Linked DNA regions of Alligator mississippiensis. The protein of the gene in region 4 interacts with the protein of the main gene of each other region in a biochemical or structural test. Links are inferred from orthologs where the notes say so. Each region holds a gene or a part of one and is shown on either strand. Other genes may lie near its edges. The genes, in order: DUSP1, HDAC6, DUSP3 and mitogen-activated protein kinase 1.

The links.
Region 1: of the proteins of mitogen-activated protein kinase 1 (region 4) and DUSP1, one has a biochemical effect on the other in vitro, tested with the Homo sapiens proteins (2 studies listed by BioGRID and IntAct). The link is inferred for Alligator mississippiensis from reciprocal best matches to the Homo sapiens genes MAPK3 and DUSP1.
Region 2: the proteins of mitogen-activated protein kinase 1 (region 4) and HDAC6 form a complex in vitro, tested with the Homo sapiens proteins (2 studies listed by BioGRID, with this or other methods). The link is inferred for Alligator mississippiensis from reciprocal best matches to the Homo sapiens genes MAPK3 and HDAC6.
Region 3: of the proteins of mitogen-activated protein kinase 1 (region 4) and DUSP3, one has a biochemical effect on the other in vitro, tested with the Homo sapiens proteins (2 studies listed by BioGRID and IntAct). The link is inferred for Alligator mississippiensis from reciprocal best matches to the Homo sapiens genes MAPK3 and DUSP3.

The regions. Positions count from the first base shown.
Region 1 is NC_081832.1:61,872,946-61,880,193, forward strand, and holds the start of DUSP1 (dual specificity protein phosphatase 1), read right to left. Parts: upstream 3,006-7,248; 5' UTR 2,934-3,005; coding exon 2,558-2,933; intron 2,378-2,557; coding exon 2,229-2,377; intron 2,089-2,228; coding exon 1,869-2,088; intron 1,019-1,868; coding exon 648-1,018; 3' UTR 1-647. UniProt on the Homo sapiens protein: Dual specificity phosphatase that dephosphorylates MAP kinase MAPK1/ERK2 on both 'Thr-183' and 'Tyr-185', regulating its activity during the meiotic cell cycle.
Region 2 is NC_081831.1:28,539,998-28,546,995, forward strand, and holds the start of HDAC6 (histone deacetylase 6), read right to left. Parts: upstream 3,020-6,998; 5' UTR 2,953-3,019; coding exon 2,668-2,952; intron 2,183-2,667; coding exon 2,054-2,182; intron 1,724-2,053; coding exon 1,635-1,723; intron 908-1,634; exon of another isoform or gene 880-907; coding exon 795-879; intron 636-794; coding exon 595-635; intron 480-594; coding exon 383-479; intron 252-382; coding exon 154-251; intron 1-153. Other genes in the region: CDK20 (cyclin-dependent kinase 20), read right to left, coding at 3,565-3,846, 4,309-4,434.
Region 3 is NC_081827.1:153,368,399-153,375,715, forward strand, and holds the start of DUSP3 (dual specificity protein phosphatase 3), read right to left. Parts: upstream 3,004-7,317; 5' UTR 2,800-3,003; coding exon 2,678-2,799; intron 1-2,677. UniProt on the Homo sapiens protein: Shows activity both for tyrosine-protein phosphate and serine-protein phosphate, but displays a strong preference toward phosphotyrosines. Specifically dephosphorylates and inactivates ERK1 and ERK2.
Region 4 is NC_081830.1:836,526-844,351, reverse strand, and holds the start of mitogen-activated protein kinase 1, read right to left. Parts: upstream 3,005-7,826; 5' UTR 2,990-3,004; coding exon 2,616-2,989; intron 2,438-2,615; exon of another isoform or gene 2,323-2,437; coding exon of another isoform or gene 2,222-2,322; intron 1,864-2,221; coding exon 1,681-1,863; intron 1,189-1,680; coding exon 999-1,188; intron 254-998; coding exon 137-253; intron 1-136. Other genes in the region: bolA-like protein 2, read right to left, coding at 3,398-3,515, 3,594-3,691, 3,799-3,864; structure-specific endonuclease subunit SLX1, read left to right, coding at 4,477-4,652, 5,287-5,338, 5,552-5,869, 5,997-6,127, 6,202-6,289, 6,378-6,458.

The DNA.
Region 1 (7,248 bases), on a different chromosome or scaffold from region 4:
AAAAAGTAGTAATTGTGTAGCAAAACTATGTCTTCATAAGAAGAAATATATTATTTCACATCATAAATAAAATCAGCAAACATACAACCCTTGGCAACTCAAAAAAGCACTCATCTGGTGCTCTCACGTCAGTGCTTGGGAAGTGGGAACTGTTTAAGATGTATGTACAGGATTACAGTACCAAAAAAAATACTGAGGTATTTGGTTTCTCTAGAAATGAAGCTTCAGGCTTGTGAAGGCAGAGACAACACATTTACATAAAAATAAATAAATAATAGGACTTGTATAAAAAGGGACAGTGTCACTTGCTTTGAATGTCCAGGAATGGAAATACTGGTGACTGTGCTACTTAACACAGACTAGGTTTAGAACTGACAGAAGACAAAGATGGAATAGAAGGAAGCAATGTCCTTTTGACTTCTTGGTAGATGTCCAGATTTGGTCAAAAAAATTCTCAGTCAAGTCAGAATGAACCTAGCTCTCTGGAGCCAGATAAGCTCCTTCCGATTAGTAATAGTGTGTTGTTCTGAATGATGGATGAGCACAATGAGAATGAAAATGACCGATGACACTGTCCCCAGAGTTATTGCACTTCTTAAATAACAAGGGTCAAGTCTCTGAGTTCTGAGCAAGTTCTTATCTGCTTTTCAGCAGCTGGGAGAAGTGGTGATGGGGCTCTGAAGATAGCTTAATGCACTGGATGATGCATGTACAGGGATGGAGACAGGGAAATTGAAGACTGTGGTTGTTGATGCCCCTCTGTCCAATACAGACATGGCTGGGCTTCCAGCTTCTGCTGAGCAGTTTGGGGCTAGGACCTGGGACTCAAACTGCAGCAACTGGCCCATGAAGCTGAAGTTTGGGGAAATGATGCTTCTCCTCTGTTTCACAAACTCAAAGGCTTCATCCAGTTTGACTCTGTTGGTCCGCATGAGATAAGCGAGGCAGATGGTTGCCGATCGGGAGATGCCAGCTTGGCAGTGCACAAATACCCTTCCACCATCGTTTTTAACAGAGTCTGAAATACAAATGATTCATTTAAATGCCTGGGTCATGCTGCTGCAAAAGCTACAGAAACACGCCTTGCTATTTCATGCTATTGTACTTCTATTTAATATTTTACTTCCTTAGCACTCCAAGAGTCCATGGCACTTTTGCAGACAAAATGGACCCCCGTCCTGAGACAGGCAGATAGCAAAGGTTTTGATTCTAAAAACCTCTGAATCAATTCATACCAACAGTTTCCTTTGCCCACAGATATCAATTCCCATCAGTGGATGCAGACTAAATTTCACAGGCTGAATCGGATAACATGGTACAGAAAGCAAACAACCTTCAGGATCCTTTAAGGCAGTGCTTCTCAACCTGTGGGTCATGACTCAAAAGTGGGTCACAAGAATGTATGAAAGGACCATAAACAAAATTTTAAAAAGGAATCCTCCTTCAAAAAGGAGAAAAAGTGTGGGAAGCTATGGCTTTTCCCTTGCAGGCAGGCAAAGTTCCAGCCTGAAAGGGGCTGCTTGGGGCCCCCCATGCCTCATATCCACCTACCCCCTGCCCCGCACACTGGGGCAGGGGGCATTGGGTCAGGACTAGCCACTGATGTTTACAAATGGGTCCTGGTACAAAAAGAGAGAAAAAAAAAGGTTGAGAACTACTGCTCTAAAGATCCTCAGCTCTCAGTAATACAGCCTTCAGGGAGCACCCATAAGGGATAGCTGCTGATTTTCTTTATTTTAAATCCTGAGGAAACATGATGCATCTTAAATTTAGACCCGATTGGGGGAGCTCATCCGAGTTTTCTGCCACAAGGGTAATAATGCCTGCTCAGCGCTTAGAAGCACAGACGCCGGGGAGAGCTCATTTACCTATGAAATCAATGGCTTCGTTAAACCAGGAGCTGATGTCCGCCTTGTGGTTGTCCTCCACTGGGATGCTCTTGTATTGGTAGTGCCCCTCAAAATGGTTGGGGCAGTTAGCCGAGACGTTGATTAACGCCGTGATCCCCAAGGCGTCCAGCATGTCCTTTCTGGAGGCGTGGTAGGCACTACCCAAGTAGAGGAATGGCAGGATTTCCACGGGGCCACCCTGAGAGGAGAGACGGGGAGAGACGATCAGATGGTTGCATTCTGCGATGTCCAACAGCTTCTCCCCCCTTTGCAATCTGCTTGCTTTCCCCCCCGGCCGCCCGCCCGCCCGCCTCCCCCCACCGCTCACGTCCTACCCACCTGGTCGTACAGCGGGGTGCCACACGAGCTGCAGCCCGAGTCGGCGCTGTCGGGCACGCTGCTGGCGCTCAGGGGCAGGCTGAGGCCCGTGGGAGGCGATGGCTTGGTGCACAGCTCGGAGCAGGTGGAAGAGAAGGCTTCGTACCCTCCTGCCGTGGGGAAAGGAGAAAAGCTGGTTTAGGATCAAGCCGGTGCTGAGACGCCTGGGGCTGCCAGGCTGGGCTGTGCCCTCAGTTTTGCCCCGACCGCCCCTGGCAGCGGGGGTAGGGAGCCGCGTCCCCCTGCCCCGATCCCGCGTGCCCTGCCCCGATCCCGCGGGCGGCGCTCACCCTTGAGGAAGCAGACGCGGGTGCCGCGGGCCTCGCGGCACAGGGCGCTGGCGGCCAGCAGCAGGGTGCTGTCCCGCGCCGGCCGCTCCAGCTCCAGCTCGGCGCTGCGCTCGTCCAGCAGCACGACGGCGCGGTAGTGTCCGCGCAGCAGGCGGGCGCGCAGCTCCTCGTTGGGCACGATGTGCTCCAGCCCCATGGCGCCCTTGGCGCGGCGCCGCACGATGGTGCTGAAGCGCACGTTGGCCGAGCCCAGGATGTGCGAGGAGCTGAAGGCGAAGAAGGAGCGGCAGTCCAGCACCAGGCACGGCGCCGCGCCCTCCTGCAGCAGCTCCCGCAGCGCCGCGCACTCCAGGGCGCACACGTCCATATTCACCATCACTCCAACCCCCAGGGTAGCTCCGTGCTGCTGCGTGTAGCGTGTGTCTGTGTGTGTCAGGCCCACCACCGCCGCTGCCTTATATAGCCGTCGCCCCGCCTCGTTTGAGTTATGAATGAGGCCCGGCCCATGTGACCGCCTTTGGGGGGGGCGACGTCACTTTGGCGGGGGGCCAGTTCTACGCGCCCCGCCCCGCCCCGCCAGCAGCACTGACGTCATTGGCAGGCAGCCGCTTGCGCTCCTGGTGTTCTCTGCGAGTCGGGGCACGTGGCGGCGCCGCCCGGGGCTGGGGGTCGGCCAGGGGCGGCCTGTGGGCTCTGAGGGAGACCAGGGCTCCTTAGGAGTGTCTCTCACCTGCTCCAGAAACACTCGCTGGCCCCCTGGTGTGAGGGCAGCGCGACAGCCCCTGCCCCCTTGTGCTGTGAGCTCTCCTTCCTGCTGCTCTGCTCTCTGCTGTTTTTACAGGGGGCATTAGGGGCGTTTATTGTAAGGGGAGGCTCGGGTTTCTTAATGGAAAGCTTATGATAGAGGATGTATATATATATAGATATAGATATAAAACTCTCTCTATATAGAAATATATTTCAATTTTTAAAAATGTTTTTACAAGGACTTCTTGGCCCCTTGAAAGCTCAGATCAAGTGTAGTGGCTTCTTAACCTGGCAGGGGAAATACCAAGGACTTGTGTCCAAGAAGGCAGCTTTCCTGAACCCACTCGCAGGAGAACTGCCCTTCTGGTGTGGGTCAGTGCCCACCGAGGTGCAGCAGCCTTAAGCTCAGTTTATGGAAATGGGAGTCTCCTCCCTTGCTTGCTCCGAGGGCCTTATGGCTGAGGGCAAGCACAACTCGGGGGCATCTGAACCTCAAGCCTCTGGGCTGGGGCCTGCAAGTAGGATGCCCACCAAAGGTGTTAGAAACATCTGAAGCCCCAGGTGCAGGTGGAGGATGTTTGCCGGTAGTAGGGCCACTTAATGGTTCTGGACTCTTGGATTTGGAATTAGTTTTGGCTAATTCGGCCTTGGATACAAATTCTATATATAAAAAAATGTTTTTACAGGGAAACACCATTTATCTGGGTCCCTGAAGGCAGTTTTCCTTAAGTGTTCCCAGGGATAACTGTTCTTCTGGCGTGGTTTAGTACCCGCCAAGGTGTTGGGGCTTAAAGCCCACTTTACGGAAATGAGAGGCTCCTCCCTAGCTTGCTTCTGCAGCCATATGGCTGAGGGCAGGCGAAACTAGCGGGCACCTGAACCCCAAGTGTCCGGGCTTGGGCCTGCACATAGGATGCCTGCCAAAAGACTTTGGAAATATCTGAAGCCCCTGGTAGGGGTGGAGGATGTTTGCCGGTTGTAGGGCCACTTATGGTGCTGGACTGATTCATAGATTTGGACTTGACTTAGCTGATTTGCCTTGTTAGTAAAACATTTTTTTTTATGTTTTTGCAGCTCAGGGTGGGAGCAGGGATCTTTTGCTTCTTCACACTCACGCCCATGCTCCTAGCATTGCTTACAGCTCCACGTGCTCTTTGCACAGGCTGTGGAAAGGGTGGGTTCAAAACAAAGTGTGAGGGAGTGTCTAAGAAATGGCCTCTTCGGACACACATCTTGGCTACGTAGCCTATGGTGGGGAACTTGGCTACGTAGCCTACAGAGGGGGGAACAGTCCTCCTCCTTCAGTGCATTTCAGGCAGAGAAAATGGGGGGAAAAGCCTGGGCCCATTTGCTCAGCAGGCTCAAAATTCCCACAGAAACCAGTGCTGTCGGCTACTGGCAATGAAGCCAGTCAAGCTCTGGTTTTCCCCCCTTTCGCCAGTGCAGCGAGGCTTCCCAAAAGCTTTTTCTCCTCCCAGCGGGTGATTAGCTCCCAGGGTGTTTCTTATGCAGGGCTTCCAGTCATGGTGAGTTTCACTTCCTCTGCCCCACGGCTCAGCCTCTGAGCCTGGTCTTGCAGCCTGTTTCTCTCTCTTCTGTGCTCTCCGTCGCTCTGTACCTGGTCCGCTCTGCCTCTGCTTCCTCTTTCCTCCTGCCCCTCTTTGCAATTTCTTTCTTCCAGTCGTGCCCCACACACCGTTCACTTTTCTGTTTCCTTCTCATCACTTCTTTGCATTCAGCCCCTTGAACACCACTGTTCCCTACTCAAACAGCCTGTGCCGTGCCCTCCCATGTCCCTGACTGCCACACTTTTTCTGGGACTCTCCACAACTCTACCCCAGGCTCTTGCCAGTCTGAACTTTCCAGTCTAAACCATTTCCTGGCCAGTTTGGAAATAATCAGTTTTCCTTAAAACTTCCCCGAACTCTCTCCTCCAGTCCTTGCCCGTCTGTAATCCATCCCCCTAGAATTTTCTAGAAAATTCTCCAGTCCCCAACTCGTGTCTGACCAAATGCTCTAGAAACTTCCAGGATCTTCTTCCCGGGTCTTGTCGCTCATTAATTGACCATGGAATTGCCTCCATTTTATCAAAGCTTTCGATGCTGAGCAAATCTGTTTTCTCGACGCTCTTCAAACATAAACACAAGAGTTGTACTTTTTCATGCCTGATTATTTATTATTGTTATTATCATAACACCATAAGTTAGAGACAGATTGTGATAAAAACAGTCATATGTTTCGCTATTGGGAAATCATTCCACTCCCAGCCCACTGTCATTACTCTATTACAAGGGCCATGGAGGCAGTTTACAGCACATCATTTCCAGTGAATCATTAATGTCCCGGCAGACATGATCGGTGAAATGTTCCACTCATCAGAGTGCCCGTTTGATGAGAAGGTAACAGAGTCTTTCTGTTCACATGTGTGCGAGGCAATTAGCAAGTTGATCCTATCAACCTTCATCACAGCTCACTTAAAAATGTATCAACCAGGGCAGCCACATCTCTTCTCTTCTGGGAGAATAATAGTAATAATTATTTAGAAACACTTTCATATAATCTTTTCACACAAAAGCAATCTATGAAAAATAGGCCCAAACCAGGGACCTTTATTCAGTTTATTGTCTTTTCTTGGGCAGAACACCCTCTTGCTGGTGGGGGCTTCAGGAGTTTGCCTATATATTAGTGTATATCCAGCAATCGCATTGTTCCTCTGAAAGGCAGAATGCAGTAGTGGTGTAATGTGGTGCACTGCAGCAGTTTAAGACAGGCAGAGGAGCCTGTATCCAGCTGAAAATGCAACAAGGATTTAGGCAAGAAGAATGTAATTCTGAGGCAGACTTTGATTAGGATACCGGGCATAATAAACAGCAAAGAGATTGTTAGTGTCCATGAGCCAAGAGGTCAGGACTCAGAACTTCAGTTTAATATCTCCTCTAAACTACACCTTTTTTTTGTTATCAACAGAGTACCCCTTAGTGCTGTGGTCAGGCATGTATCTGGCCAGCCATGACTCAAGAAAGCAATGTCATCTCCTTATCACCAACCCTAATTTCTCCAGTAGTCTGGATGATGATGTGGAGGTCACAGGACTGACGGTTCAAATACTCTTCCACTCAAGCGCTGACTGATTACCAGGGATTACCGTATGCTATGGAAAAATGCGGTAAAACCTGGATTTTCTCCTTCAAAGGAGAAGAGTGTGGGAAACGGTGGGTTCCCCTTGCAGGCTGGCAGAGTTCCAGCGTGCAAGGGGCTGGAGGGAGTGGGAAGAGAGCGACCAGGCAGGGGGCACTGCATGCATGCGTGCTCATGCGTTCACATAGCCACCAGGCAGCTTGGAGAGCAGCTCCTGGCAGGTAAATCAGGGTTGTGGGGGAGGGAATTGGGGATTGAGGCCGACACAGTGGGAGAGGGAGGGAAGGAGTTGAGCAGGGCTGGGGCGGTGAATGGAGCTTGGGGCCCGGGGCTGGAATACGCAGCCACAGGACTGCAGGAGGAGCGGGACGGGGCACAAGTAGCTCCTTCAGGGGTGAGTGGGGGAGGGGGGCTGGCTTCCCGCTCTGCACGCACTCCTGGGAGGGCATAATGGTCATGTGTCCCCCAGTTTTGTGCATAGGGCTAGGGTAGGCTACCCACTGTGGGCTTGGGCTCAGGCTCCCTGCCTTGCTGCCCTCCCCTCAGGGCCTCCGTGGCCCAGCGGGTGGGACCCAATATGGCAGGGCAGAGTGGGGCAGGGAAGCTCACTTGCTGCTGTGAGCCCCACACTGCCATAGCAAGGTTTCCCATGCCCGCCTAGCAGCAGCAGGGGTGACAGCACGGAGTTGCACCCCTTGCTGCTGTCGGGCAGGCAGGAGGCACCTCACCATAGCAGCATGGAGCTCCTGGCAGCGGTATTGAACTTCCCCACCTGACCCCACTCTGCCCTGCTGTGCTGGGTCCTG
Region 2 (6,998 bases), on a different chromosome or scaffold from region 4:
GTGCTTCATCCCACCCCTCCCCTGCTAGGCCTGTCCTCTTGGGCCCCTAAGTCCAACCCCTATAACCCCCCACCCTTAGAACTCAGGCCCCACCTCCAGCCCCTTTTCCCATCCCCTTAGCCCCACCCCCCAGACCTCACTAGCCCGTCTTACCGGATCAGCGCCAGCCCATTCCTCAGCTCCCCACTCAGCACCTTGTCAACCACGGCCAGGACAGTGCCGGCTGCCAGCCGCGCACAGTGGTATGAATTCTGCAGGGGTGGGGATGGTGAGGGACCCAGGCATCGAGGTTCCTAGCCCTCCCTGCTTTCACCCACCTCTCCTGCCAGAGAACCCAGGCATCTGGGCTTCAAGCCCCCCGCCCCCAAAATCTGGGGCTTACCGGATGCAAATAAACTGAATCGTAAGTGTCTGAGAGGGCGCGGAGTTTACCCTCCTCCATGTCGGCAGTTGAGGCCATGAGGGCCAGGAACTGGGGGCTGCAAAGTGAGGAGGGGGTCATGGTGCCCCTCACTCCCCTCCTTACTCCCAACCTGCAACCCCCCCCCAAACCCATGGACCTGCAGTGCCCCTCACCCCCAGTAACTCTCTCACCTGTGTACCAGCAGAATCTCCTCTTCCGTAGCCAGTCTGGCCTGCAAAGAGATAGCCCTAAAAAAACCCCCAGGCATCCAGGCTCCCAGCCCCACACCCCTCCCAGAGAATCCAGGTGTCTGAGTTCTCATCCTCCCTACCCCACCACTCTCACCTGCAGCCTCTCCTCCACTCCCAGAGAACACAGGCATCTGACTCACCTGCACAGGGACACACCTCTCCACCAATCCATCTTCCACCAGCTTGGTCCAGATGGATGTCAGCCGGGCTGGGCACTCAGGGAAACTGCAGCAATAAGGGCAGAGTCAGGAGGCTGTGGGGTAGGAGTGAGGGGCACTGTGAAGCTATGGGGACACAGGTATCCAGGTCCCCCAGCCATTCTCCACATTCCATGAACCCAGACATCTGGGCATCTCAGGCTCTGGTAGACTCAGGCATCCAGGTCCCCCAGTGAACCCAGGTGTCTGGGATCCCCTCCATGAACCCAGGTATCTGGGTGCCCCAGCTCCCTCTGTGGATCCATGGCCCAGTAGGATTCATTATGGGTCAGGAGTGAGGGGCACCCTGGGGCCATGGGGAGCACTGCAGGTCAGGTGTGAGAAACACCAATATGGGTGGGGTTGGGGGGTCAGGAAGAGACACAAAAGGAGCAGGGGTGGGAGGGACCAGGTCAGCCAGCCAAACCCAGAGTAAGACTGGGGAACCGAGGCTGATGAGTTGATCCCAGATTCTGTCACAATGATGGGGACTCATAGGTGGGGGGGAGAGAGTTGTAGGCCAGGCTAGGGAAATCAATCCCAGACTGGGACTGGGGATCCTCGGGCTGACCAGTTGATCCCAGATCCACCCCCTCCATTACAGAGATGGGGGGGGGAGCAGGGAGAGACAGGACAGAGCCCAGGGTAACAAGCCAAGCTCAGAGTGGCACTGGAGTCCCAGGCTGGTGAACTGATCCCAGATGTGCCACCCTTAGAGATAGAAGTTCATGAGGGAGCTAGGGCAGCACAGGAGCTGCAGATGAAGGGAGCAGCTTCCCTCACCTCTTGTCCCAAAGGCAGTGAAAGCTGGTGAGCTCCTTATCATAAGCAAGGCCTGTCCCTGAGGGCACTGGCTTCTCTGCAGCCAGATCCTGGAGGGGGGGTAGAGAAGGACACAGGAGATAGTGAACTCAGACTTCCAGTATCTCCCTCCCAACATAATACCCTGCCTCACTGCCCTGTCCAGAGCAGGAGAACCCAGGCAGCTGGGGGCTCCCCAATGGCTCCCCTACCATCGAACCCACCAGGCCCCTGTCCCCTCCCAGCAAGAAGACCAAGGCATCTGGGCTCCCACCAACCCCCATCCCCCCCACCTCCAAAATGACTCAGGTGTCCAGGCTCTTCCCCTGCCAAAACCTTGTGGGGACACAGGCCTCCAGTTTCTACCCCCACTCCATGAGGCGCAGGTATCTAGGCCGTACCAGGTGCTGTAACCCATCCTGGAGCTCGGCCACCTCTTGATGCAACCTCCGGGCACGGCCGCGCCGCTTTGCCTCAGGGAGCCCTGGGCTGCGGCGGGGAGGGGGTGGTGCCTGCCGACCAGCCCGGCCCTACAAGGGGATGACAAGACAGACTGCAGAGCTCTGGCCACACTACCTTGGGATCAAACCCACCCCTTCATGTCAGGCCACACCCACACGGCCCGGAAATCCAGCTCCAGTGGTCAGGCCACACCCACTCCTGGCTCCCCTCCAGCTTTACCTCCCTGAGAGAAACAGGCACCATCCTTGGCCTCCAAGCCCCGCCCACCTGACCTAGGCCACACCCCAGGTCCTTAAGCCCCACCTCCAATCTTCCTTACCCGCAGGCTCCACCCCGTTCTGGCCCCGCTCCCTGAGCACCAAGCTCCTCCCACAGCCTGGCCCCGCCCCATTTTACTCCACCCTGTCAGTTTCCCCCCCCCATCTTGGCCCCACTTCAGTATCATAAGCCCCACCCCTCCTGGACCCCGGTACCGGGTTTCAACTCTCCCAGCGTGGTACCCACTCCCCATAACCATATGGGGGGGGGGCAAGTGGTGGGGCGGCTACTTTACCGACGGTGCCGGGGCGCTGGGTCCTTCAGGCCCCGGAGAGACCCCAGGGGGCATCGCGGCGGCAAGGCAGGGAGGATTACAAGTAGGCGTGAGAGGCTCCGGGTTGGGGGGAAATGGTTTCATCTGCTCCCCCCCCCCCTTCAGAAAGATGGTCTCTCCCGGGCGCTGCCGGATGGAGTCAGATTGGCCTGCCCTGAGCGAGACCATTCGTACCGCGCGGGGCAGGCAGAGCTGGGTGACACAATTCCCCTGCACATGCGCACTTAGAGGGGTGGGAGAGACCATTCACCTCAGTAAAGGGGGAAGGAGACTGGGACTTTCCCAATGCTTGGGTGGGGGCCGGGTACTACCACGGACACTAGTTGAGGGCAATTAAAGGCAAAGTACCAGTATCTTAAAGAGACAGACTCTTTATTGGGGGGGCTGGGGTGGGGGGGGACCTGGAGCCCCATGACCCCTAAAACCCCTGACTCTCGGCACCTGCTTCCCCCAAGGGTCTCACCCATCAAGAGCCCCTCCCCTCGGTGGGGGCGGGACTAGGCAAGAGCCTGGGGGTGGAGCCAGGGAGCAGGCCAAAGCAGTGACTCCACCCCCTCAGGCTGGGGAATGTACCTTTAGAGGTGGTCCGGCAGGTGGCATTGGGGCAGGATATGGCTCAATCCTTCAAACCCAGGGGTGGGGCTTTACCCATGGCCTCTACCCCCTCAGGGTCAGTGGGTGGGGTCCAGCAGGTGGGGGTCATAGTCAGAATGTAGCTGCACCACTCAGTCCTGGGGGCAGGTTAGGGAGAGGTGCTGGGTCCAGGCTGTGACTCCACCTCTCAGGCCAAAGAGGTAGGGCTGGGCTGGGGGCTGGACCTAGTGGATGTGGGATAGGGCCAGATCACATCCCTGACCCTCAGGCCAGGGAGGAGCCAGGGGTGGGGTAGGCGGTGGGGCCCAGCAGGTGTGGGGTGGGGGAGAAGGGCAGCAGGTGGACCACAGGCCCCAGGGCATAGAGAGCACTAGGGTCCTCGGCTCCTAGGGGGGACGGGGTCAGTAGCTCCAGCGGGGCAGGGCCCTCAGGGCCAGGCAGGGCCCGGACACCTGGCTCTCCACTGCGGCGCTTCTTGCCCTTGGCTGAGACTTTGCGGTTCCGTGTCTGGATCCCATCCTTGCGCATGGTCAGTGGCCGGTTCACCTGCAGGGAAGGGGTCATGAAGGGATCCATGCATCCAGGGGCCAAGAGGGATTCAGGTGTCTGGGATCCCAGCCCCCATTCCCCTCCCAGAGTTGGTGAAAGAATCCAGGTGACCAGGACCATGCCCCATCCCTCTGCAATCCCCCCCATCAGGGATGTAAACCCAGGTGCCCTGAGGATGGAACCCAGATATGTGAGTGGTCCCATGGTGGGAACCCAGGCATTTGGACCTCTCCAGGGATGGAACTCAGGCAGCCCTGGGGTAGGAACCCAGGCATCAGGGTGGCCTTGGGAAAAGGACCCAGGCATCTGGGCCTCTCCAGGGATGGAACCTAGGTACCTGGGCAACGACAGGATGAGAACCTAGGCATTTGGGCCTTCCCAGGAAAAGGACCCAGGCATCCGGGCAGCCCTGGGGTAGGAACTCAGGTGGCCCTGGGGCAAGAATGGGGGGGCACTCACATTGTGGAGCTTGTAGTACAGGCCGCAAGCGTTGCAGACGGGCTGCCCGCGGGGGTCGCGGCGCCACAGTGTTGTGGTCGTGGTCTGGCAGTTGCTGCACTGGGTCCCTGCTCGCTTGCTCACCACCTGGAGGTGGGGGGGCAGGGGTCAAGTGGTGGGGGTCACAGGGTCCCCATGGTGTCTGGATGGAGTCCCTAGGGGGTATGGGGATTCCAGGAGGGGTTTGGAGATCCCCAGGGGGCATATGGGAAGCCTGGTGGGGGGTCTCTCACCAGGTGTTTCCAGGGAACAAGTGGTTGGGGGTCCCATGGATGGGTGCATTGGGAGCATGTATGTGGGGGAGAAGAATGGTCCATATTGGGAGTCTGTGGGGGGGAGGGTGTATTGGGAGGGTCCATGCCAAGATCCCTGGGGGGTGGTTTGGAAAACTCCATGTGGAGGTCCTTGCAGGGGATGTTGGGAGGGTCCATGTTAGGGATCCAACCCTAGGGGGTAAATTAACACAGTTCATGTTGGTGGACAGTCCATGGTGTGGAATGGTCCATGTTGGGGGTCCTAGGCAGAGGCCTGGGAGAGTCCATGTCAGGGTCCTGGGGATGATGCGGATGTTTCAGGGTGGGGGGTTGTTATAAAAGAGTGCATGTGGAGGTCCCTGGGGGATTGGAAGGGTCCATGTTGTGGGTCAGTGGAGGGAGTGAATTAGCAGAGTCCATGTGGGAGGACAGTGTGTGGAATGGTCCATATATTGAGGGTCTATACGAGAGTACTGGAAGGGTCTGTGTGGGGGGTGTATAGAATGGTCCTAGCTGGGGACCCAGGAGGGTGTATTGGGAGGGTCCTGGGGAGGGTTGTAATGGGAGAGTCTGTGCAGCGGTTGGGAGGGTCCATGTGGCAATCCCTGAGGGACTGTATTGGAAGGGTCCATAGGGGTGTATAATGCTCCATGTTAGGGATCTGGGGGGAGAGCATGGGAGAGTCCACATGGGAGTCACAGGTGGAGTGTATCAGAAGGGTCCATGAGGTGGGGGGGAGGGGTAGAAGGGATGTATTGGAAGGGTCCACAAAGGGATTCTGGAGGGGATCTCTCACCAGACGTTTCTTGGGGCGGATGAGGGGCCGGTTGGCACCGTTGACACGGTGGTACAGCCCACAGGCATTGCATAGGTAGTGCCCGGTACCATCCCGGCGCCACAGTGGTGTGGCCGTGGCCCCGCAGTTCACGCACTCCCGCGCCTCTGTCGGGGGGAGACATTATCTAGGGGGTCCCGATCCTGCCCAGCCCCAAGTGCTCTATGTCCCCTCCATCCCCCTGCCCAATCTTGGTAAGAGCTTATACCCTCCCCCCAACCAAAGGGCCCAATCCTGGGGTGGGAGGCAGAGAAAATCAAGGAAGGTCCTGATCATGGATGTGGGGGAGACAGGGAACCCAATCCTGGGTGCGGGCTGTGTAGCTCCAATTCTGGCTGGGGGCAGGTGGGTCCTGGTCCTAGTCTGAGCGAGCCCTCAATCCTATCTGGGGCAGGAGGGGGGAGCCCAATCCTGACTCAGGGGGAGTCTGATTCTGGCTTTGGGGAGTCCCAATCCTGGCTGGCACAGGAGGGGAGGTGCCTGATCCTAGCTGAGACTGAGGCAGATGGGGAGAGGACTCACCACATGATGCCAGGGGCAGGCTGCCCCGGAAGGCAGGGGGGTAGGCGGGGCCAGGGGGTGCCAGGTAGGCCAGGTCAGGGGGGCTGCCATAGCCCCCGCCCAGGCCCAGGCTCAGGCCCAGGCCTAGCCCCAGCCCCTCAGTGCCCCCCCCCACCCCAGGACTGGGCCTCTCCGTCTTCAGCATCTCCAGGAAAGTGGGGCTGTCCCGGGCCTCAGGGGGGGGTGGGGGTGAGGGAGGGCCAGGGAGGGCCTTGCTGTAGCCCCCTGGGGCCCAGCCCCCCGCAGTGAAGGCTGAGCCCTCCCCCCACGGCAGCGCTCCCAGCACTGGGTACAGCTGGCAGCCTAGGGAAGGAAAAGAGTGAGGGTTAGTGCCACCTTGGGGTGTGCAGCATCATGGCAACCATGATGGGTAGGTGTCATGGCAACTGAGGCTGGAGGCTGTGATGTGTAGATTGGTGTAAGTGCCATGATAACGGGGGTGTCATGGCAACTGAAGGAAGCTGGGGTGGTAGGTTGGTGTGGGTGTCATGGCAATGGCAAAGGGGATTGGGTATTATAGCAACCACAAGAAGGCTGTTATGGCAACTGAGGCAGGAAGCTGGGGTGAATAGGCTGGTGTCTGTGTCATGGCAACTGAGGCAGGAAACTGGAGCAGTAGGCCAATATGGGTGTCATGGTAAGCCTGGCGGGAATGGGGTCCCATGACAACTGTGGGGGCAGGGCAGGCAGAAGGATGACTAGGGTGGGTGTCATAGGAACCAGGGGCATTGGGCAGTGGGGTTTTGTCAAAACAACATGGGCAGGGAAGATAGGCCAGGGTAGATGTCATGGCAACCATGGATGAGGGATGGGGCATGGATGTGGGATGGGGATGGGAACCATGATGGGAAACCATGACAACAGGGTAGATGTCATAGTAACTGAGGAGGTTACCATAGCAACCGTGCTAGGGAAGGTGGGCAGATTGGGATGGGTGTGATTGGGGGGGGCATGGCAACCCCCAGGGGTCACAGCAGGTTGGGGGTGGGGAGAACCTGGTA
Region 3 (7,317 bases), on a different chromosome or scaffold from region 4:
GCCATAATGAAATGCCATTAGCTTTCAGTCACTCCTAGAATTGGACTCCTCCCACACCTCTATTGGGAAGACATGTTTGAACAAAGGTTTGCCTGGCTATGCCTTCTGTTTGAACCTGCAGTGAAGTCATAATCCTGCAACATCAAAGGACATTTGTGACATCACAACATTGCTGTGGAAATTATGGAATCTTAAATGCCTCATTATTACTACACTACGGACTGTGAAGGAGGAACTGAAGAAGACTGAGGGGAAATTTGGATGGCTTTTCTCTCAGCTACAGCACCACACGTCCTGCTCAAAGTGCCTGCTGGGAAGGAGGAATAACACAAGCCTGTTAGATCCATCCAAAGGCTCCAAAGAAGGAGGATTCCATCTGTGCTAACCACAGTCAGAATATGAGGACTATCGGGAACAATGAAGCTGTTTAGCAATGTATTCATATGAATATATTGTGACTTTTAATGTTTTTCTTTGCAAGGTTTTCATTTGTTGTTCATTTGTTATTGTCATTCTTACAGTAAGAAGATAAATTTGGACTTCTTTTTTACTGCCATCTGCAAATTTTATCAGCAATAATTTTAGATCTTTCCCTGGATTGTTGGAAAATGCGAGAGAGACACAGGCAGCATGAGAGAGCGAGCAGGCCTGAAGAAGAATGCCTGGAAGCATCCTTGACCATTGAGATAAAACTCTTAGTGTTAATCTTGAAGCAGTATTACTTTCACTGGGTGCTTTACTTTCACTACAAGTGCACTTTAATGCACATTAGCCTATTTTAATCCACATTTAAGCGTCATGGAAAAAACTGCTCTGTAGCTAATGCACATTTTTCTAGTACCTCACAATAGAGGTACTAGATTTAATGCGCACTACCTAAAACACATTAATGAACCCGTAGATGTGCCCATTTTGAGTTGCAAAGCTTGGCAGTAGACACAAAGGCAGAGCTTGGTTTTTGTTTAAAAGAAAGGTGGAAACCCTAGGAGAAAGGTGGTTTAGGGTTTAGAAACCCTTGGTTTAGGTAAAAGGTAGAAAATGGGTGCATCTACATGATTTTTTATTATTTTTTGTTATATTTGAATGCCCCCAAATTAGATCAGTGCTATACACATACCATAAGACAGTCTTCCTGTTCTAAAGGATGTACAGTCTAAATAGCTTTAATAGTTGGGAAAGGAGACAGGTGCTGAGAGATTAAGTGACTGCCTAAGGTTATAGCAGGTGAGTGACAAAACAGGGAACTGAATCTACGAGCCGAGTGGCCTGAATAAATATGCTGCATCTGAGAAATAGCAAAGTGCACAAATAACATATTTTCTTAATTATTTGTTGACACTGATATCCTGGATTTGTGGCTGCTGCCTCCACTTTACCTAAACGTTCAAGCAGTCGAGCTTTACTGACCAGAACAGTCACAGAGAACCTGTCAGTCACTGGTCTGCCTGCCTGCATAGGGTGTCTTTTTGCTCTCAGCCAATAGCAGAACAGAATCAAAACCATGACACTTACTTGACCAATCACAAACAGGAAAAAAAAAAATAAGTTAAGGAAAGCAAAAGGTAGGCCCTATGAAAGCCTCCCTTACTATATTAAGAAGTTGTGCATGTTGTTAGATTAGGCAGCCTCACATGTTTGTCAGGACTGTCCCTGTCTCCGCTCCTTCTGCTTTAACGTTACATGAACTTGTTGTACCTGGTCAGTTTAGCCTCCATGCTGCAATCCGGTTTAAGTAGGGCTTTGCATGTCCACACTGGCACACTTAATTGTAGGCTAAAGACCACAAGCTGTAAACTCTTTGGGGCCAGGGCCATGCATCTGAGCAGCACTCAGCTCAAAGGGGCAGCCTGTCTCCACTAACTCTCCTTGGGTGCATCTACACATGCACTTTGCTGCAGAACAGACTAATTAGCTCTGCAGTAAAGAGTCAATGTCTACATGGGTGCTGGTATTAGGGTGCAGTGAACTTATTAACCCTGCGGGAAGATAGTGCTGTTACCAACAGTACTATTTTACTGCAGAGTATTTTACTGTGCCGAAATGCCCGTGTAGAGAGCGTGCAGGCGCCCAGCAGCCAGCTAGGGGCCTGCTCTGCCCTGGTTCAAACCGCTGCTCCCCTGGCTGCGTAGAGATGCTGCACCTGGGAGCAGCGGACAACCTGCTCTGCGGTTTATTCCTTTGCATTTATTTCTCGTGTAGACACACCCGCCGTCAAGTCCCCTCTTCCTGCTTGGCATGTCCTTTTTGACGGCAGGCCGTGCTAGGGGGCCCACACAGTCGCGCAAGCCGGCGACTTTGGCGGGAAAGCAACGTTTCCTCCCATTCGTAGCTCAGGCCTCGAGCGGTCTCCATCAGCTCCTGTTGCTGATGCTTCCCAGGTCCCTGCCTTACCGCCGTCCAGAAACGCGCCCCCTCACCCTGAATCCGGCAAGAAACTCCTCCCGCCCGCCCGCGCCCCAGAGCAAGGCAGTGCCGCTCCTCTACTCTACCTCTGCTCTCCTCCCGAGGCCCGGGGGCCCGCGCCCTACAGGCCTGCCCCCCGGCACCTCACGGCCCCACCGCCCCGACAGCAGCCCCCACCCCCAGGCCCCACGCCCCCCGGCCGGGCCGGGCCGGGCCGGGCCGGCCGCGCTCGGGGGCGGGGGCAGGGCCCGGGGCCCGGGCTCGGCGCACTCACGCGTTGCCCACGTGGACGCGGGGTGCCACCTCGTTGCTGTGAGCGCTGGGCAGGCTGTAGCAGCCGCTGCCGTTGGCCAGCAGGTCGTTCAGCTCCTCTACCGAGATGCGGTACTCGGACATGGCCCGCACCCGCACCGCACCGCACCGCAGCGCTGGGCAGGCCCCGCTCCCTCCGCCCCGAGCCTGATAGGAGGGGCCGGGATCAGCTGGTAGCGGCAGCCGGCGCGGGAGGCGGCAGCTGCTGCCCGGGCGCCCCCTCGCTCCCTGCCCGTCTCCCCCCGCCGGCCCGCGGGGGCGGCTCGGGCCCTGCTCGCGGGAAGGCGGCGGCGTAGGGCACGGCCAGACACCCGCTCTGCGGCCTCCCCGCCCCGTGCCACCAAACGTGAGCTCTTCAAGCGGGGAACGGCCGTGCTTCGCCAGTTAACACCCCCCCCCGGCGCTTCCCTGCTGAGGGGATCGCCTTTCTCAGCCGAGGGAGGCTGCTCTGCGAGGCGCTCTCGGCCGGGCGCGGCGGTGCCCCAGGCTCCTTTCAGAGGTGCCGCGCAAGAGTCGTACTGCCAGGGGGGCGTCCAGGCTGCAGCCGCCTTGCTCTAGAGGGACAGGCAGTCAGGACTTGTAGTAGAGATGATCTCTTTTTATTAGACCAACAAGATTTTGCAAAAAAAAAAAATAAATTTTTTTTTTTTTTGCAAAAGTCTTGTTGGTCTAATAAAAGAGATCGCCTCTACTACTAGTCCGTACTGCCAGGAGTGCATGAAACTGAAGTTGGTTCCTTATTCCCGGTTGCCTGTGCCTTATTCCCGGTTCCTTATTCCCAGGAACCAACTTCAGCCTCATCGGGAGCGCATGTGTCATTCCCAGGACGAAGCTGACAAAGGATTTTGCACGGGAAGCTGTAGTGTTACAAACATGCGGCGCCATTGTGGTCTTCCAAAGTTCCTCACCACAGAAGAATTGTATTATTTTTTTGTTGGCAAAACACAAAAGGGGGAAAAAAAACAACTAAGCTGGCACTTTCTAAAGGGTGCCTCAAGTCTAAAAAAAGTTCACAAATCACTGGCTTAAGCTGTAGCAGCTTCTTTGCCAGGCCTGAAGGAACACACTTTGCACCCCAAAGCTCGAGCACCTCTCCAAATGGGTAAGTTGGTCCAATGAGAGACTGCCTCATCTCAGAAATCCCTGCTTCTTGAGAAATCTCTCAGCGGTCAAGACGGTCTGCCGGCAATCTAGCCTGCACCATCGTGAGTCCTCCCACCCTTTTAGGGGTTCAGAGCAGTAAAGGCTAAAATGGAGACTGGACCGTCTCTGTTGCACCTGCAAAAAGAGTCTGAACACCAACCTCTTGGGACAAGAGAAGGCAGCAGAGCACTAACGAGGTATTGCTGCCAGAGGTGCTTCGACAACCCTAAATTCCACCACAGTCCCTCAAACCATAAGCAGGCAGACTGACTCATCTTGTAAGTATTGATATTGATTTGGGAACTATTTGTGCAGGTCCTAATGTTCAGCCCACTGGGCTACTGAGACCAGGCATTCTGAACTGCTGAACTTCAGAAGTTGGTCTATGAATTTTGAATTTCAAGAGATGCCTAAGGAATAGCTTGAATCAGGTGTCTGAGCTCTTGAGAAGAGTGGAAGATCACTACACGCCCTGAGGTTTTGTGGTGTTCATTGGGTACCTCTAAGCATCTCTGGCTGCTTTTTTTTTGGATTGCCCTTTGGAAGTGGTTAATATTTTTCATTCACTATGTACAGTATCAAGGCACATAAACCTGCATCACTTTTCAGCATCTATGAAACTCCCCACTGACGTTAAAAAAAAAAAAAAAAAAAAGGAAAAGAAAAAAGGTCAGTTTTAATTACCTTCTTGGGGCAGATGGTGAAAGGTATGTGGGAAATACCTGAATCAAGGAACCTGAAACTATTTGGATTCTGGTCTAAGGTTGCATCAATTGCTAGCAGATTTTCATTTTTATTAAAACTGGGGATGATGTCCAGAGCCATGTCTTTGTGCTAGTTGTACCAAAGTGAAGCAGGAGGGTTCTGTTGTATTCTAATGTGTGTGGAAACTCAACAATATCATTATGATCTGCTTAATAAGAACTGTATAGTCTTTTAAAGCAAATATGTTGTTGAACTTATGCTTAAATATTTTTGAAAAGTAGCAAAATTGTGCAATAGTGTGCTTGTTCAGCACGTCTACATATTGGATGCGTTTACACGTTCATTAGTGCGCTTTTGCTACTGGGCATTAAATGTACTATCACTACTAAATGTGCATTAGGCTGCCCTGATGCGCAGTAGTGAAAGCACATGCTTGCTTAGTGACACTTAATGCGTAGTAGCCTAATTTTACTGCGCATTAGCGTATTAGCACAGTTTTTGCTGTGACACTAATGCACGGTAAAATAGGCTACTCTGCATTACAGTGCACATGTAGACACGTCCATTGTGACCCAAACATATATTTTAATAAAAGGACTGTTTCAGAAGTGACAGTGAAAGAAGCCCCCTCCCAATGTGCCTGGGGCCAGGGGCCAGCTGCTGGTACAGCCAGCAGAGCTCTCCTGGCTTCATGCACATTGGGACCTACCCTATCCCCCTTGCCAACCCCAGGGCTAGCACACACACACTGTAGCTCCCCCTGGCTGCTGCAGGGGAACAGAGCTGGACAGAAGCAGCTTTTTACTGGGCTGCTCCCCTTGGGAGCAAATCTGCTCCCAACAGGGTACATGTGTAGACGTGCTTCTGGGGAAGGCTTACTGCACAATATTTTATTTAATGCAAATTAATAGCACATGTAGACTTATGTTGTATTCTCTGAATACTGGATAAGCCAATGGGAGGAAAATCAGACCCATTGTCTGCTTTCCTGCCTTGCCGTTTCTTGCTCCCAAATCTATTTCTTCACCCTTTGACTTTCAGCTCTACTTTTTGTCTAAAACCTGTTGTTTGGCTTGAAATATTAATCCCTTATTTATTTCTAAATTGCCTTCCTGACCTGAATACCATGTACTTGTTTTAACCTTTTACAGTTGATCAGACACTTGCAGTATCTTTTGCTTTATTTACCCTTCCATTACAGTCCTCCTCCCATCTACTCTGTTTTCCTCCTATTGCCTGCCTTAATACCTGGTGAGTGCATCTACATGTGTGGTTTACCATGGAGTAGACTAAGTAGCTGCACAGTAAAGTGTCACTGTCTACATGTGGAGCGGTATTAGGCCACAGTAAACTAATTAACTCTGCTGTAAGATAGTCTTATGGTGGTGTAATTTACTATGATTAAATGCATGTGTAGATGTTGATCACTGGCTTAAATTGCACCCAGCCAGCCAGGGGCCAGACTTCTGCCTGCTGCCAAGCCACACGACTCTGCACTTCAGGACTCTCGTGCCCTAGCCAGCCCCTCCACTGCCCAATGCTACCACCCAGAACCTGGGGCTGATGCTCTAAGCCCCTTGCCAGCCCAGGCCTGCTCTGCTCTGGCTAAAAGTTGCTGCTGTCCTAGGTGCATGTGTAGATGCTGCGCCTGGGAGTAGTTTACTTTGGATCAAATTGCTCCAGAGCATATTGCATCACATTAATTTCATTTGTAGACACACCGGCTGTTAACTACTCTGACTTTTCTCTTTCGTGCTTTGCATATCCTTTTTTAAGACTTCTGTATTTAAGGAACTGTTTTCTCCTTATGCCACATTGTCTAAATTGTTCTTTGACATTTGACATTTCTTCAGCTTTTCTTCTGTGGGTTACAGCAGGACAAGAATGGTTTACATCACTGACTCCTGGTTATTACTGAGGAGCTCAAGGTTTCATTTTAGGTACAAAGTATAAGTAGGAGGAATATGATGAGCAAAGCTGCCAAATCATTATAATTAAGTAGATATAAATGCCCCTTTCCAAAAAAACTGAGTGTCATTCATTAAAAATAGCGCCGAAAAACAATTACTATAACTCTAACAGTATTCCTGTATTGGACCTAATGTTGGCTCTTGGTCTTTATCGGCAGGAAGCAGTGGTTTCTTTAAAATGTTTTAAATTAAAAAGTTGCAGACTTCATATTTCAGGCAGTCTATCCCTTGAGCAGATGAATTCTTGGCTTTGTAGTGAATATTCTGTTTGGTGATTTTTGTTTAATCACCATACAAATTGGTTTCAGATCTGCTCCAAGACATTTTAATGTCTTTATGAAACTATCTCAGCCTGCTTCCTGAAAAGTTTGGTGTTTGGAGCACAAATAATTTATGGTAGATCTCATTTTGTGCAAAAGCATCAGTTGAAAAATTGATCCCTATTGTTAAGGGATTATGAGGATTGAATAATGTGCTGTACAGAATGTACCTTCCTTCTGCAACAGCGCCTGCAGCTTCAATTAGCAACAAGTAAGCACAGCTGTGGAATTACCAGTAATGAAAAGTCTCTTCTTAAAGGAGTTAGGAAGAAGCCATTTTTTTCTCTCTAATACACATATATGCATGCTTCACTGCCCCCTTCAAAGCATACCTTTCTATTTTAAAATGCCCTGGAACTGTTCTGTCAGCTCTTTAATTCAAGGGTAGTAACAGTCATGAGGTCCCAGCTGTCTGGTTGGGCTTAAATATTACAACCCCAGGGGTTCAGTTCCTTTTAGCATTA
Region 4 (7,826 bases):
GCGTAACGGGTTTGCAGCCAGCTCTGAGGCAGGCCCGATGCTGCAGCTGAGTCAGGGGTGGCCCGGCTGAATGGAACGAGTCCCGCTTTACCGCCCCCCCTCCCCACCGAGGGAAGCCAGGCGTGTGGGGCCTCACCTTGGAATTGAGCATGATCTCAGGGGCGCGGTACCAGCGCGTGGCCACGTACTCGGTGAGGAAGCCTGTGTGGTCGTGCTCGGGGTCAGCGATCCGGGCCAGCCCAAAGTCACAGATCTGGGGGTGGGGGAGGACAGAGGGCATCACACCACAAGTACGGTGGCCTGGAGAGAACAGATATGCCCAATACAGGGGTTTGGGGGGCTCGATGGTGGCCTGGAGGGGACATTACAGCCCCAACTTTGGTCTCTGGGGTCCTATGGTGGCCTGGGGGGAACATTAGGGCCCCAGAGGTGGGTTTAATTTTTCTACAGCGGCCTGGAAGGGCCAGATATGCCCCATACAGGGGTTTGGGGTCCAATAGCTGGGTTTTATGGGCTCTATGGGGCACAGACATGGGCTTTGGCGGTCCTACGGTGGCCTGAAAGGGGCATTGGGGCCCCAGAGGTGGGTATCATGTGGCTTGGAGGGGACATATATACCCCACACGTGGGTACTGGGAGTCCTGCAGTAGCCTGGAAGGGACCCGCTAGCCCAACAGATGGGTTTCACAGGTCCGACGGTGGCCCGGAGGGGGGACAGAGGCCCGAAGGGCTCATTTTGTGGGGTATGGTGACCCAAAGGGGACACAGACCCCCAGAGGTGTGGTTGCTGGGTCCTACAGTGGCCCGCGGGGGCCACCGATGCCCAATCAGTGCCTTGTATGTGTCCTGCAGTGGCCCAGAGAGGCCACAGCACACCCAGAGATCGGCTCTGCGGGTTCCACAGAGACATCGGGTACGGTGGTCCCCTGAGGACACACAGCCCCGGACAAGTGTTTTACGGGCTACAGTGGCCCGGCAGGACCCCCCTGCCACCGCACCTTGAGATCGCACGTGGTGTTGATGAGCAGGTTGCTGGGCTTGAGGTCACGGTGAAGGACGTTGGCCGAGTGGATGTACTTGAGGCCCCGCAGGATCTGGTAGAGGAAGTAGCAGACGTGGTCATTGCTCAGCTGCTGCGTCTTGAGCAGCTTGTAGAGGTCCGTCTCCATCAGGTCCTGTACGATGTAGCTGGGTGCGGGGGTCAAGGGCCACGGTGGGGTGGGTGGCTGGGCATAACCGGGTCCCTGTAATGCAGCTGGCTCTGGGGTGGGGCTGAGGCTGAGTGTAACATCAGCCTCCACAATGCAGCTGCTCTGGGGCAGGAAGTCAAGAGCTGGGTGTAACGGGGCCCCATCATGCAACTGGCTCAGGGGTGGGACTTTGGGGACTAGCTGTAAGAGGGCCCCTATAATGCAGCTGGCTCTGGGGTGAGACACTAGGGGCTGGGTACAACAGCCCCCACTCCCCATAATGCAGCTGGTTCTGGGCTGGATATACTAGACGCCCCTGCCGCATAATGCAGCTGGCTGTGGGGTGAGAAACTGGGGCCCCCCCGCCCCCACGGTGCAGCTGGCTCTGGGGCAGGCCTGGCAATAACAGCGCACTGCCTCCCCGCTGCGGCTGGCTCTGGGGTGGGACCCCTCCCCCCCGCGACGCGGCTGGCTCTGGGGCAGCGGATACACATCGCGCATCTGGTCGAGGCTGGGGGCACGCAGGATGTCGTTGATGCCGATGATGTTCTCGTGGCGGAAGCGCAGCAGGATCTTGATCTCCCGCAGCGTGCGCTGGCAGTACGTCTGGTGCTCGAATGGGCTGATCTTCTTGATGGCCGCCCGGGTCTTCGTTACGTGGTCGTAGGCTGAGCTGGGGGGGAGAGCATGAGCGACACAGACTCAGCTACGGCTCCCGCCTGGGAGGGCACCAGAAACGTACGGGGAGATGGGGCCGCAACAACTTGGGAGGGCCTGGAGCAGAGGGCGCCATAAATGTAATGGGGGGGAGCGGAGATGGCACTGACCCGAGTACACCCCCACCCTCCCCGCCCAGGAGGGATCGGTGGCACAGGGCACCGGAAACGTAAGGGGAGACGGGCTGCGACAACCAAGGTTTGCGGCAGAGGGCTGACGGTACAACAGCAGCCTGGAGGGAACGAAGGGGCCAGGGTAACCTGGAGGAGTGCTGCACCGGGAGCAGGGGGGGGGGCAGAAATGCAGTGGCGTACGGTGGCCTGGAGGCAGCGGCAAAGGCCTTCATAAATGTAACAGAGACGATTAGAGTGGCCTGGCGAGCCATAAATGTAATGCTGAGCTGAAGGGAGCCCATTGCCCACAATGCAGTGGGGCACAGTGGCTCGCAGGGGTTAGCTCCCTAGGGGCGGAAATCTACGGTGTCCCAGAGGAATCTTTCCGGGGCCCCACTGCCCCTACGGGGACCTAGAGGGGTCACTTCCGGGGTCCCATTGCCCACACGGGGGATAGTCGGGGTCACTTCCGGGGTCCCACCGCGCGTACGGCGGCGCGGAAGAGTCAGTGCCCGCAGTCGGGCCGACTACGGTGGCCCGCAGGGGTCCGGCCGGGCCGGGGGCTCGCTACGGCGGCCGCGCAGGACCAGCTCACCACACCATGCCGTACGCGCCCTCGCCGATATACTGCAGCTCCGTGTAGCGCGGCCCCACGTCGAAGGCCTGTCCCTTCACCGACTCCACGCCCAGCTTCGGCGCCCCCGGTCCCGCCACCGGCCCAGCCCCGCCCGGGGCTGTCGCTGCCGCCGCCGCCGCCATCGCCGCTGCCGCACCCGGAACCGCCCGGACGCAGCGCGCAGGCGCCGCTGCCGCCCGGCTGCCCTGAGGCGCCTGCGCACAACGGCAGCGTGAAGCTGCAGAGCAGAACTGCTGCCCACAGTGCTCAACCCCGCATGCGCGGGAACAAGAGAGCCTGCGCAGAGCGCTGCAGTGACGCTGCGACTCTACCCTTACTGCCTTAAAGCGCATGCCCACTGGCAGGAGGGGCGGGCAGAGAGGTGCAACACCTGCGCAGAGCGACAGGAGGAAGCCTCGCCCAGCCGCTGTTGCCCTCACTGAGCTTAGTACGCATGCGTGGCGTTCCGTACCCAGAAAGGAAAAGGAGGTCGTTCGGCGCCTGCGCAAAGCGCCGGAGTGAAGCCGCGCTACCCCGCTGCCCTTAGTCGGAAGAGACCGCCCACTGGTCTTCTCGCCCGCCTGCTGCCGCCCGGCCCCTAAGCTAGACAGTGGCTCCACCCCCAGGGTCCACAAGCCCCGCCCCGGCACAACGCCCCACCCCCTTTCTTACTACCCACGCCCTCATCCGTACTGGCCCCGCCCCTCCCCCGGCGCTCCCACAGATGCGAGGCCGAGCCCAGGCGCGTTTCCCATAATTCTTTATTCCCGGGCGGTGCCGGGCGCCGCTCGCTGCTGCTCCCACTGCTCCGGCGTCAGCGTGCGCTGCTCCAGCGCGTGGATGTGGGGCAGCTCCTGCGCCAGCGCCTCGTTCACCAGCCTGCGGGGGGGCAGGGTCAGCCCGCACGCCGCGGCTCTCGGGAGGGTGGGGGGAGAAGGAGGGGGGGGCGTGTCTCACCGGTGCCGCTGCAGCAGGGGCTTCCCCCGGAACCGGCCCGACACCACGAGGACCCGGAAGGACGTGGAGCAGCGCTCGGGGGTCGTGTCCTCCACTTCCTGCGCGGGAAGCGGAGCAAAGGAGACTCAGGCGTCCACCCCCCCCAAAACAACCCGGGCGTCCCCGGCCCCGTGCCCCCCGGGAACCCAAGCACCCCCCCACGCACCACGTGCTCCGCCTCCAGCTCCCGCTGCAGCCGCTCCCGCACCGCCTCTGCGCTCAGCGCTGCCATGGCCACTTCCGCCTATGGTCCCGCCCCCACTTCCGCCTACCGCCTCGGTTCCGGCCTCTAGCTCCCGCCTTTTCCGGCCAGTGGCAGCGAAGGGCGGCCTTTCCCCGCTCTTTTCTCGCCTCTCCTGAGGGCTCGGCCAATGGGCGGGCGGAGCGACCCGTCCCGCCCCCCCCCGGGCGCCTGCGGCCAATCAGGGAGCGGGGGAGGAGGAAGGAGGGCGGGGATTGGCCAGGACGCACGCGCCGGCGGCGGGAGCGGGGTTCGTGCCGGTTGGGGATGGCGCAAGGGGTGATGGGAGTGTGGGCAAGGAAGCGGGGCATGATGGGCGATAGGGCCGCTGAAGGGGGAGCAGGGCATGGTGGGCTGCATGGCTGGAGCAAGGGGTGATGGGAAGTTGGTGTCTGAGGGGATGATGGGAGCAGAGGATGCTGGGACATGAGTCGGTGAGAGCAGCGCAGGGCATGGTGGGAGCTAGAGAAGCAAGGGATGCTGGGAAATTGGCACAGGAAGGGCAGCGGGGCGTGATGAGACGCGTGGGAGTGGGGGTGGCAGGAAACAGGCCCCCAAGGGGCCGCCCCTGACCCCGCCCCCATCTGCCTGGCAGGCGGTGCCATGGCACCAGCCCCAGGGCGGGGCTTCCGCGGCGTGTACCTGCTGCTGTGCACGCGCCCGGAGGGGCGGGGCCGCGTCTACGTGGGCTTCACGGTGGAGCCGCGGCGCCGGGAGCGGCAGCACAACCGGGGGCGGCGCTATGGCGGCGCGCGCCGCACCAGTGGGCGCGGGCCATGGTGAGCCACCGTGGGGGGCGGGGCTACTGCCCAGCATGCCTTGTTTTCAGGAAATCACGCTCCTGGCATGCTTTGCTGCTAGGGACCTGGTTCCCAGCATGCCTTGCTTTATGGGCCTGCCCTCCAAGCAGGCTTTGCTCTACATGGGTTAGACTCCCAGCAGGCTTTGCTTTAGGAGGGCCAGGCCTCTAGTATGCTTTGCTGGGAGGGACCAAGCTTCCAGCATGCTTTGCTGTAAGAGGACCAGGCTCACACCATGCTTTTCTGCAAGGGACCTGGTTCCCAGAATGCTTTGCTGAAAGTGGCTTAGACCTTTTGCTTGAGGGAGGACTAAGCTCCCAGCATGCTTTGCTTTATGGGCCTAGCCTCCCACCTGGCAGGTAAAGCTCTCAGCATGCTTTGCTGCAAGGGATCAGACTCCCAACATGCCTTGCTTTATGTGCCTGGCTTCCCAGCATGCTTTGCAGCACAACCACCAGACTCCCAGCCTGCTTTGCTGTGAGGCACTGGTGTCCCAACATACTTATACTTGTCTGTAGCAGCACCAGTTTCCCAGCATGCTTTACTCTGGGGGTCTGGCTCCCAACATGCTTTGCAGCAGCAATTCCCAGTATGCGTTGCTCCCCCCCCACAGGGAGATGGTGCTGATCGTCCATGGCTTCCCCTCCAATGTGGCTGCCCTCCGGGTGAGTGCCCCGCCCCCTGGAGGGCACTGGGGCCTAGTGGATGGGAGCAACAAGGCCTAAGGGGTTCAGGAGCCCAGAGGCCTGGGGTCCTTGGGAGTGGGCGGGGGTGAGAGCAGGGAGCCTGGGCACTCTGGGAGGGGGGCGGGGCTGGACCTAGGGATTTAGGAGCCTGGACACCTGGTCCTCACCCCGGTTTCCCCTCTCTCTCCGCAGTTCGAGTGGGCATGGCAGCACCCTGGGGCGTCGCGGCGCCTGCCCCCCGGCCCCGCCCGCCGCCCCGGCGCCCCCCTCGCTGCCGCCCTGGGGGTCCTGGCCCAACTTCTCCGCGTCCCCCCCTGGGACCGCCTGCCCCTGGCCCTGCGCTGGCTCCGCCCTGGCCGCCTCCCGGCCCCGCTCCCTGACCTGGCCCCGCCCCCCCACGTGCCCATCACCTATGGGCCCTTCCCTGACCAGCCCCGCCTGGCCCACCAAGCCCTGCCCCCTCCGGCCGTGCCAGGGGTCACCTGCCAGCTCTGCGAGGGGCACTTCCAGGTAAGCCGGCCACCCGGGGTCTCCCTCCCACCGAGGAGGGGCGGAGCCCGGACACCAGGGGTCATGGAGGGGCGGGGCTAGGAGCTTGGCTGCCTGGGTGCTCCCTCTGCTTCCCCCCCACCCACAGGGCGAGGTGGATGCCCCCCTCCGCTGCATCCAATCAGGCTGCCCCCTGGCGGCCCACCCACCCTGCCTGGCGCGCTACTTCCTGCAAGACGAGCCGCATCAGTTCCTGCCGGTGGAGGGCCGCTGCCCCTGGTAGGTGGAGGGGAAGGGTGGGGGGCGGGCTCTTGTTTCCACACCGACTACTGACCCCCACGTTCCCCCGATAGCTGCAAGACGGTCGTCCTCTGGGGTGACTTGATTCGCTCCCACCTGGGTTACCGCGACAACCCTGAGGACGACCTCTGCTCCTCCCAGGTAAGCCCTGACCCCCCCCCCCATCTCCAAGCCCCACCCCTCGCCGCGGGCCATGCCCTCTGACCCCTCTGCCCCTTCCCCAATGCAGGGTCACTGGACAGAAGAGTTGCAGGCTGAAAAGGCGGGGCCTCAGGTGGAGTGGGTGGAGCCAGCTGCCAAAGCCTCCTGAGTGGGCCTCATGAATGGCTGGCGGGTTTCCAGAGACCTGGCCCTCCTGGCCCCACCCCCATAAGCACCCAGTGGTCACCAGGGACAGGAGGGGGCGGCGACACGGAAACTCCTCCCCCTCCCAACCACCAATCAAACGAAGCTTCCCTTTTTCAACCCTCTACCTTGAACACAGATCTTGCCCCCTCCAGAACCAATCAGGTGCCAGATCTGGGTTGCGCGTCACCAGCCAGCCCCACCTGCCCACCCCACCAATCAGGGGCCTTCCCTGATCCAGGAAGCCCTGCCTTCCCCTCCTCTTGACAGGGAACTGAGACTTAATTAATAACTTTCCCTCGTCAGTGTGCTACAGGGAATTAAATATGCAAATGTAGGTTGTTGCATTTGCATATTTAACTCCCTGTAAGCCGTTGATGAGGAAAGCTTATTAATTACAGGTCACTAATCACTTCTCATCTTCGCTTTCAGCCTATTGGTCTATGCTTCATTTCCCCTCCCCCAATGCTGTAGCTTGTCCTTAAGGGAAACTACAGGCAATCCAGGTTACTAATTAAGCCCAGGTTAATTAATTAAAGATCGTTCATCAACTGTCAGCTCTGCCTTCATCCTCTCTTATTGGTCTATGCTTCATTTCTCCTCCCCCAAGGATGTAGCTTGTCGTTAAGGGAAACTACAGGCAATCCAGAGGTTACTAATTAAGCACAGGTTAATTAATTGGGATGAATCCCAGGTCATTTAGGTTAATTGATTAGGGATATATAACAAGCCAGCCATTAAGTCTCAGTGTTTCATTTCCCCTCATTCAATTATGTAGCTGGTGGGTAAGGGAAACTACAGGGAATGAAGAGGTTAACTGATTAGGCACAGGTTAATTAACTAGGGGTTTCACAAACGATTAATTATCAAGCAGTTAATTGCCTCAGGTCCCCCTCCCCCTCCCTCCATATGGCCCATCCAGAAGGGAAACTGAGGCACAATCCATGAACCTCCCCCCTGCTAATCACTGACTAATTAGCAATTAATTAGGGAGAGGGTCTTAATTACCCCCCAGTCAGTCCCTCCTGCCCCCTGTATTGGCCCCTGGGGCTTCTCCCTGGAGTAGTTCTGGGATAAGGGAAGCTAAAGGCCATCAATTGGTTAATTAGTGATTAATCAGTGACTAAATACATTAAATGAATTAGGAACAGGCTGTTAATCATCTCCCAAGATCCCCGCCCCCCTCCCCATATTGACCCCCAGGGCTTTCTGCTCCCTGCAGCTCATTCATAAGGGAAGCTAAAGGCCATTGGTTATTAAAATAGGTGATTCATTAGTAATTAAATACATTAATTAGAATCAGGGTGTTAAGTATCTCCCAACTCCCCTTTCA